Linked DNA regions of Bombyx mori. The protein of the gene in region 1 purifies or fractionates together with the protein of each later gene. This does not show direct contact. Links are inferred from orthologs where the notes say so. Each region holds a gene or a part of one and is shown on either strand. Other genes may lie near its edges.

Evidence for each region. Proteins that work in one complex are often made in the same cells at the same time.
Region 2: the proteins of 5'-3' exoribonuclease 1 (region 1) and regulator of nonsense transcripts 1 purify together in Homo sapiens (affinity purification with western blotting; 4 studies listed by BioGRID and IntAct, with this or other methods). This does not show direct contact. The link is inferred for Bombyx mori from reciprocal best matches to the Homo sapiens genes XRN1 and UPF1.

What each region holds. Positions count from the first base shown.
Region 1 is NC_085128.1:3,931,943-3,936,590, reverse strand, and holds part of 5'-3' exoribonuclease 1, read left to right. Parts: intron 1-1,084; coding exon 1,085-1,189; intron 1,190-1,740; coding exon 1,741-1,792; intron 1,793-2,177; coding exon 2,178-2,259; intron 2,260-3,681; coding exon 3,682-3,874; intron 3,875-4,648. UniProt on the Homo sapiens protein: Major 5'-3' exoribonuclease involved in mRNA decay. Required for the 5'-3'-processing of the G4 tetraplex-containing DNA and RNA substrates. The kinetic of hydrolysis is faster for G4 RNA tetraplex than for G4 DNA tetraplex and monomeric RNA tetraplex.
Region 2 is NC_085127.1:8,613,908-8,617,979, reverse strand, and holds the start of regulator of nonsense transcripts 1, read right to left. Parts: upstream 2,801-4,072; 5' UTR 2,499-2,800; coding exon 2,319-2,498; intron 2,241-2,318; coding exon 2,053-2,240; intron 1,299-2,052; coding exon 1,098-1,298; intron 775-1,097; coding exon 704-774; intron 136-703; coding exon 68-135; intron 1-67. UniProt on the Homo sapiens protein: RNA-dependent helicase required for nonsense-mediated decay (NMD) of aberrant mRNAs containing premature stop codons and modulates the expression level of normal mRNAs.

The sequences.
Region 1 (4,648 bases):
TCTTATACCTATTTTACTTAGGTATTTTACATATATTAAAAATTGCTTTAGTGCCAACTTCATACTTATTAAGATTTATAAGTGTATACCTACTTAGAATATGCTATATCATTTGCAAGTATCCTCAATGTAATTATCTCTAGTTTATTAAATTTTACATAGGAAATTTTTGAAGAAAATCATTTTTAATTAGTTGTTAGTGAAGTCGCGTGGTCTAAAGGATTAAGACACGTACACGTAGGATAGGATACGTACTTAGCAAATGTTCACGATTAACTTCTACGGTGAAGTAATAGCATAATAAATCTCATCGCATAATGAAAAAGAAACCTGTAAAAAATATAATTTATTTAATTAATTAATTGGTGGTAGAGCGTCTTGTGAGCCCGCGCGGGTAGGTACCACCAACCTGTCTATTTCTGCCGTGAAACAGTAATGCGTTTCGGTTTAAAGGGTGAGATAGTCCTTATATATATATAAATGAACTGCTGTTCGTTTATCTCGCTAAAAATCGACTTTTATTTATCGATTGAGGCACTACGAAGTCTGCTGGGTCAGCCAGTACTGTATATAAACTGAGACCCAGACCTCATGTCTCAAGGTAGATGGTGGTATTTATGTTGTTGATGTCTATTGCTTTTGGCAACCACCTAAAATAAGGTGAGCCGTCAGCTCGACCACGCATTTTTTTGCCCAAGTATTTTAAGAAAACATAGTAGTACACTAATAATTGCTAAAACTTTTTTGCACTACCTTATTTAGCCTTATTATTTGACAAATATCGGTACTCATATCTTGGCAGAGATTTGCACAAGTCTCGATGTGCCAATTATGACCGCTATGCGGTTATTCAACTTCCGCGTTTCATCACTGACTGTAATATTTTATTTATACCCTGCCTATAATGTATTTATAGTTTTTTATTTTAAGTAGTAACGACTTTTATATCGTAGTATTTTGTTTGCTTACCGAATGGTAAACATGAATAATATGCACGTTTTAGTTGCTTATAAAATGCATACATGCAATAGTTTAAATTGTTTGTTGAATACTATAGATCTTTTAATTGATTGTTTCTTTTCAGTACAAAGCTAATAACAATGAAACGTTCAACGTAGATGTAAATGAAATAAAAGGAAACCATTTGGACAATGATCTGCAAGCACTCATAAATGCTACAGACAATATGGTAACTACCATTGAACTACTTCCTTCTTCTTATGTTTTTTTCAGTATGGCAATTGGCGTTTTACGATGACATTGTTGCCAGTGTTGAGTATATAAACGTTTATATATGTACTGTTACATAAAATAGGAGCAGAATGAAATGAACTTTATTTATTTAAAATTCACTACATTATACTTATTTTGTTTATACTTTATAGGTATAATGTCACATTTATATCTCACAGTGTAACAACATACTCAATTCAGTAGATAGAATGCTATATCTTATTTAGTTTGGGTACTTATCTTTGTTACAATAAACATATTTATCATAAATCAGATTTCGAATTTCATTAACGATAAATGAGTTCATTTGTACTTTAAGATTATTACTTGTATTTGTAAAATGTTGTTTTATTTACGAAATAATCTATCCAGATTCATTTTCCAATCGGAGTCGCTCATCCTTATTAAAGATAGTTGGTTTTCGTAGTCCTAAACCTTTTGACTGTGGAAAGTTTTTAAAATGAAATTCCTTTATTGTCAGATATCTCATAAAATCAATTGTTTTAGTTTATGAATGATTTGGAAGATGGTGAAGAAGAATACGAGGAAACGAGCGATGGTGAGTTGAAATATATATTTTTTTCAAATCCTCCTCGCGTGGTTTTCCTCATTACTGAGGGTCGTGGCTCCTCCGCTGCATCAGTTTCTCCCGTACGATTTCCCTCCATCTGCTGCGATCCTTAGCTTCATGAAGGGCATTGTGGAAGTTGATGCTTAGAGAAGATCGTACCCTCTTTACGAGCAATATGTTCGAAGAATTCCAGCACCCTACGAAATTTTTTTTTACTTTACGAAATTAATTTTTTTAAATATATTATTATAAAAAAAAAAATTACATCTAGTTCTGATCTTACTCAGGGTCATCTACGTTTGTTTGATGCCACAGTATTACTGTATTTCCACAGCGTTTCAATTATCAATAAAAACTTGAATTTAACTTTCAGAGGAAGCCAACATGGAAATGGAGTTTATTTTGCATAAAAAAGATTATTATATGAATAAGTTGGACTATTCGAAAGTTACAGAGTAAGAATTTTACTATTCATTTAAAAAGAAAAAAAAACGTGGTTTTAATACAAGCAGTATTACCCACTCTATGATAGTATGTAAATATATAATTATTACATCACGTGTTATATATAAACAGTTTGTAATTACGGCATTGACATTGACACAGGTGACGGTTGAATTTGTGTTAGCTCATCTGCCAACATTAAGATTAGAAACAGATTACAATTTTAAAATATTATTGTATTATTGTTTTGCAGCTATCAATATATACTTTAAATTTCCTGAAAAAAGTCTCGATACCGTACCGTAAACTTTAATGGTAACCCGTCATCTCGGATCCTCCCGATCCACTAACGGTGCTTCTAGGTACTACAAGCACCGGTCACCGTTCTCGTCGAACCCGTCGCTTGCGACGAAGGGCTCGACGAGTAAATTAACTCTCAGACACAGCCCACTGAGTTTCTCGCCGGATCTTCTCAGTGGGTCGCGTTTCCGATCCGGTGGTCGTTTCTGCGAAGCACGACTCTTGCTAGGGTTCGTGTTAGCAACGTCGTCAGGTTTGAGCCCCGTGAGCTCACCTACTAGTTACGGTTACGCTGGAATAGCCGCTCCAGGCTACCAGCTTAGGTAGGAAAAAAATAAATTGGTAACATACCGGAACGGACTAGAATCAGGGTAGATAGATATGTCTGCTCTTAGCATCCTAACCGCAGCTTTTGATCCAATCGCGAAAATGGTGCAACAGCGCAGAAATATCGGGAATTTAAAACTACAATTCTTTTTAATTATTTTTATTTATTGCGCAGATGGGTAGACGAGCTCACATCCCACTTGGTGTTAAGTGGGAATCTACAACGTCAATGCCGCCACCCACCTTGAGATATAAGTTCTAAGGTCTCAGTATAGTTATACAACTGCTGGTCCACCCTTCAAACCGAAACGCATTACTGCTTCACGGCAGAAATAGGCAGGGTGGTGGTACCTATCCGTGCGGACTCACAAGACGTCCTACCACCAGTAATCGCGTTAGGAACTATTATATGCTTTATAATAATGTTTTTAATTTATACATAGAAATAAAATTGGAGTGTCTGTTTGTAATATTGAAATAGCCTCTTTTTACGACGTGCAAATGAATATACGGTACATACACCAAAATAACATTTTTTACAATTCTTGTCTGTCTGTCTGTCTATTTGTTCCGTCTAATCTCTGTAACGGCTGGACCGATTTTGACGGGACTTTCACTGATAGGTAGCTGATAATATAAGGAGTAACTTAGGCTACTTTTTTAGACGAGCTTCGCCCCGCGGCGTCACCCGCGGTACGATAATAAGCGCGGGTAACATCGCGGGACTCAGTTTTCAATAATAAAATTTAATGTTTCCGAAGCGAAGCGAGGGCGGGTGGCTAGTATGAAATAATATTGTTGAACAGCGAAGTGCTGGCGGACCAGGCCGAGGGCTACGTGCGAGCCATCCAGTGGAACCTGTACTACTACTACAAGGGCTGCCCCTCGTGGTGCTGGTTCTATCCGCACCACTACGCCCCCTACATATCCGACATTAAGGGATTCAAAGATCTGAAGATCGACTTCGAGCTCGGGGAACCGTTCAAGCCCTTCGAACAGGTGAGCAGCTCCTGGATCTCAGGTACGGTAGACAGCGGCTTGGTTCTGCCCATGGCATTGATGGCGTCGACAAGCCACGGTAACCACTTACTATCGGGTGGGCCGTGTTTTTTTTTTTATTGCTCTTGTAGGCAGACGATTATACGGCCCACCTGATGGTGAGTGGTTACCGTCGCCCATGGACTTCAGCAGTGCCAGGGGCAGAGCCAAGCCGCTGCCCAAATGTTCGTAAGGGCATTAAAAAGACATACGGTACGAAATATTCCGAATGGCATGTCGACGCTCCCTACGTACAATGCGACTTGGCAATATGAAAATTAACACTATATATACAGATACCCGTATATACGACATCAAGTTTATGAAACAAAAGAGTATTTAGTAAATCACATGATAACTGAAAAAATAAACTCATTAAATGACACTGGCCGCTTTGTTTTTTTTTTCTTTGTTATTAACATGCTGTTTTCTCACCTGAAATTAAGATTCCATGTACTATAGGCACCATAAACTATTACACTAAAATACGTGTAAATATATACATACTAGCTGACCCGGCAGTCTCATTATTATAACAATAACTATTATCCCGTCTGGCAGACCGGAACTCGTGGTAGCTTCGTGGCGGTAGTTGGTAACATTAAAACATTAATTAGAACGAGAGTTATTTATAAAAGAAAGGGATGTAGTATACCCCTACTAAGGATGACGTCGAAGTCTGTTAGTAGTTGGACGCGGTATGAGCCAGCACGTTAGTGTTTCGTGCGACAGAGA
Region 2 (4,072 bases), on another chromosome or scaffold:
AAAAAGGTATAAATAAGTAAATTAATTAATATTTCTATAAATGTCTAATTTGTATATAAAAATTTACTTGTCTAGCTCGCATTTGTTCTGTTTCTGATGGCACTTTCACCAACCAAGACAGGAAGGCACGATCAGCTGTAATTATAATGAATATTGTCGGTTAATATTTAAAAGCTATCTATCTATTTTTATGTCATATACTAAAACATTTTATGTTCTTAATAGGTTTTAAAATTGGTCAAGATGAAGTTACATAAAGAAATTTTACATTGAAAGTCTTTCTATTCATCTATTTGTTAAGTCTTAAGAGTATGATTAAAAGACAGCTCGTGATGATGTGGTATAATGACAATAATGCATAATGACTTGAATTGTGGGATAAGAATACTGGTTAGAGTAATTTCTTATCTGAGATCATTTTTAGACTTTGAAATGGAGTTTTCGACTTCATATCTCAAGGTAAGTAGTGTCAATATTGATACTGTTGTAACTACTAACATCATGTGGGCTGTAATATATTTTATATATAAATCTACATCATCATTTACAAGTCTTTCCAGGTCAACTTCAGGATGCTATGTTCATGATCACTATTTATCAGGTTTAGATATAAAACTTGTTATGTATAAACACATAAATAAATGTAAGCTTATCAGTACTACAAATCATTTGATTTTTTATGTTTTAAAAGATATAAACATACATATCAGAGGTTTCCACTGTTCCTGATCCCAGTTCATATCCTTCAAAGAGCTTTGAGCTGCACAAGGTTGTCTGAAAATTCAATTCTTGATATTAAATGTAGCGGGCAGTCGATAATTATCTAATTTATCTTGGTTTCAATTGTTTTATAGTTTTTTTTTCTCTGAGCACTGAGATAATTCTTCTTATTTGTACACTCTTGACAGAGTGGTCGTGGTCAGTGGATCAGTCGGATCCTGCAATACCGATGCTCTCGCGATGCGACACCATGTGGCGCAGTGTTTCACAGAGTGAGAGCAATCGTTTATGTTGGAGTGAGTCACAGATTTTATGACTGAGATAATAGCATATTACATATTAATGAGTGATTATTAAGTTTAAAAAAAATATCATACCGGCAAAGTAGCACAACAACAGAATCAGCTTTAGCTGGTATAAAGCCGAGTACGAATACATTCCGAGCACCACATGAGTAACATTCCAGAAGGGTTTCGCCAAGTGGCCCGTCACGGTGCAATGCAGCTTCCTTGTGCTTTGCACGTACTAAATGGTTGATGATATGAGAGCCTGAAGTGTTACCGCGGCCATTACAGAACCTGGAAAATATTATTCTTAAGGAATCAGAGTATATTCAATAAATTGTGTATAACATAATCTTCACTGCAATTTCTTTCAGACATTTAATTTTATTAAAATTTTCTTAATTTTTAAGTCATAAAGTACTAATTCTTTATAATCTTTATATTTCCAATTGCTCAGTAGTATGCAAGTGTTTTGTTTTATCTATCTCTAAAGTGTATCCGATCTATGATGTAGCATAGCTGTATTATATACTTCAATATCTAAATTTTGTAATTCAAGTAGGTCATTTTCAATGAGTTATAACATTACTACTTGAATCCAGTAAATTTTTCCCCTGATTTATTCCTCTACTCAGTTGATAATTACCAATGTAGGGCATGCTCAAAGAAGATGTAGGAACAGAATCTAAAGCAAATTCATTGTAACAAAGGCAACTTATTAATCTGCAATCTACATTCCAATAACTGTGTAAAGTTACAAAGATCTAACTAATTTTAAGTTGTTTCCAGGGCCCATGGATAACAGAACCATGTCTGTTTTGAGAGACACAAAAGACATGCCTGTTTTGAGAGGCCACAGTTCTATTTGAGTTGCTATTACTTTCCTAACATTCTAATTTCATTAGACAGATAATCATGAAAGATGTAACAACCCATGTTGATAAAATAAACCAATACTTAAAATAGTTAGGAAGCAGAGGTCAGTTTCATGTATATTGTAAAAAAACGTCTATAAATACTACATTTTTGGGATTATGATACTACTTACCACTTGTTGCATATGTTACACATAACGACTGTGGCCGGGTCGTGTATGCCACAGTATTTACAAGCATGATCTGGAAGTTCCTTGTTGCTGTACAAAGCCTCATCTTCCTCTTCGAATTGCAGCTCCGGTATCGTATTAGTCACGTTAGAGATTTTAGACGACAATTCTATACGTCCTATTCCGTTAACCTACAACGTGATAAATGTCAATAGTTACTGATCTTTCTGTGAGTTGAAGTGATGTGTCTTCGGTGGTGTTCTACATACCTGGTTGGATGAAGACAACCCATGGTCATGTTGTGAAGCCTGTGTCTGGCTCTGAGAGGGTAATGTAAAATCCGTGAACTCAAACTCAGAGCCTTGAGTGTCTGCTCCAATAAAGTCCCCTTCCTCTGTTTCCAGAAACGTGAGCGATTGCGAGCTTGGGTCGAATGCTTCAACACTCATTTTTAATGACGAATTTAAACAAACAAAATTAATCCAAAAGAAAATATATAGAACGACTATTGGCTGATATTTCCATAGCAGTCACGCAGTTATTCAAACGACACACAAATCGTGACGAAAATTCGACATGTTAACACATGGTTTGTTTCCGTATAAAGTTTTATATAAATTGTCTGTTATTCTATTTGTCAATTAATAATTTCAAAGTTTTGTACCAATCAAATCTTTGAGTGCAGTTTAGCTGTCTGTTTTTTAACCAATTAAAGTACAGAAAAACAAACTATTCCAAGTGAGAAAATTTAAGTACAGATAAAATATATTTACAACTCAAAGCTGTCACTTACTATTGCCACAAGACGCAACACTGGGCAATAGAGGCCAGGTCACAAGTACTACTTAATTGAGAAATATGACCGGATAAACTTAAATATACTTTTTTCTCTTCACTGTACCGATTTTCTCACTACAAAATAATCTAAATGACGCGAATGGACCTGGACTAACGGGCAAGATTGTTGTTGCGAGAGCGTTGCCAGCTGGGTTCAAATGCTGCGAAAAGTAAGAATTTTAGCTAGTTATTCATGTGTTCATAATGACAGCGTTATTAAATGAATGCCTTTAAAAATTTTTTCGGGTAAAAAAATTAAAATTTCCAAATATTCGTCAATACATAGATTACAATAATGGAAACTAGATATCTTATGAAACAATCAAGTGTTTGGAATTCATGATGAATCGGAGTGGGATAGTCGTTGTATCACACAATTGAAACCTCATATCCGGCGTACACCAGTTTGGGCACCGTTGATATAGTAAATTTAGTATTTTTTCATTAAATTTTTTTAGTTTATGAGTTTCTTAGGATCTATGTCGGAAAATTAAACAATATCGTTTTAGTTTTCATTTTCATTCAAAAAGACAAGTGAATTCACAATAAATTCCCACCATTTTACTGAGAGGCTACTGTATTTAATCTCATCTAAGATTTGAAGTGTTGTGATGTGTTGATGAGGTGTGTGGTGTGTTGAGGTGTGTGGTGAATTTGAGGTTGATTCATTTACCCTATTTAATTCCATTCCGTAATCAATTTCATTTCATTTTTTAAACAACAGATTTAGTTCAGTCAAAAGCTTTGCTGTATAGGCTATGCTCCCTTTGCTTGTCAAGTAGACGATTCAAATCAAACATTACATATCCTCACATTCCCGCCAAAAGTCAAAAGTACCGTAGTGTGTTGAATTAGTCTAGACCTTCATGTGAATGATCATCAAAAGATGTATTTAAATATTTGTACTATAAATTTGTTATTAAGATTAACAAAATTATTTATTCAACCATCTTAACAACGGGACGAGGAGATAACTTCATAGCTTGATAGATGGCGCTTTAACTGTGTATCAATGTCGCGCCACGAATGCAGAATATTTAGTATCGTTTTAAATTTTTTTTTTTTTTCGCGAGATGTTTTCGAGAAATTCCTTATTTAATTTTCAAACTTGGAGCTATGACTTGACTTTATACTAAGAATATGTAGTAATCTAGTATGTTTTAGGAATATCACCTGCGCGACCACC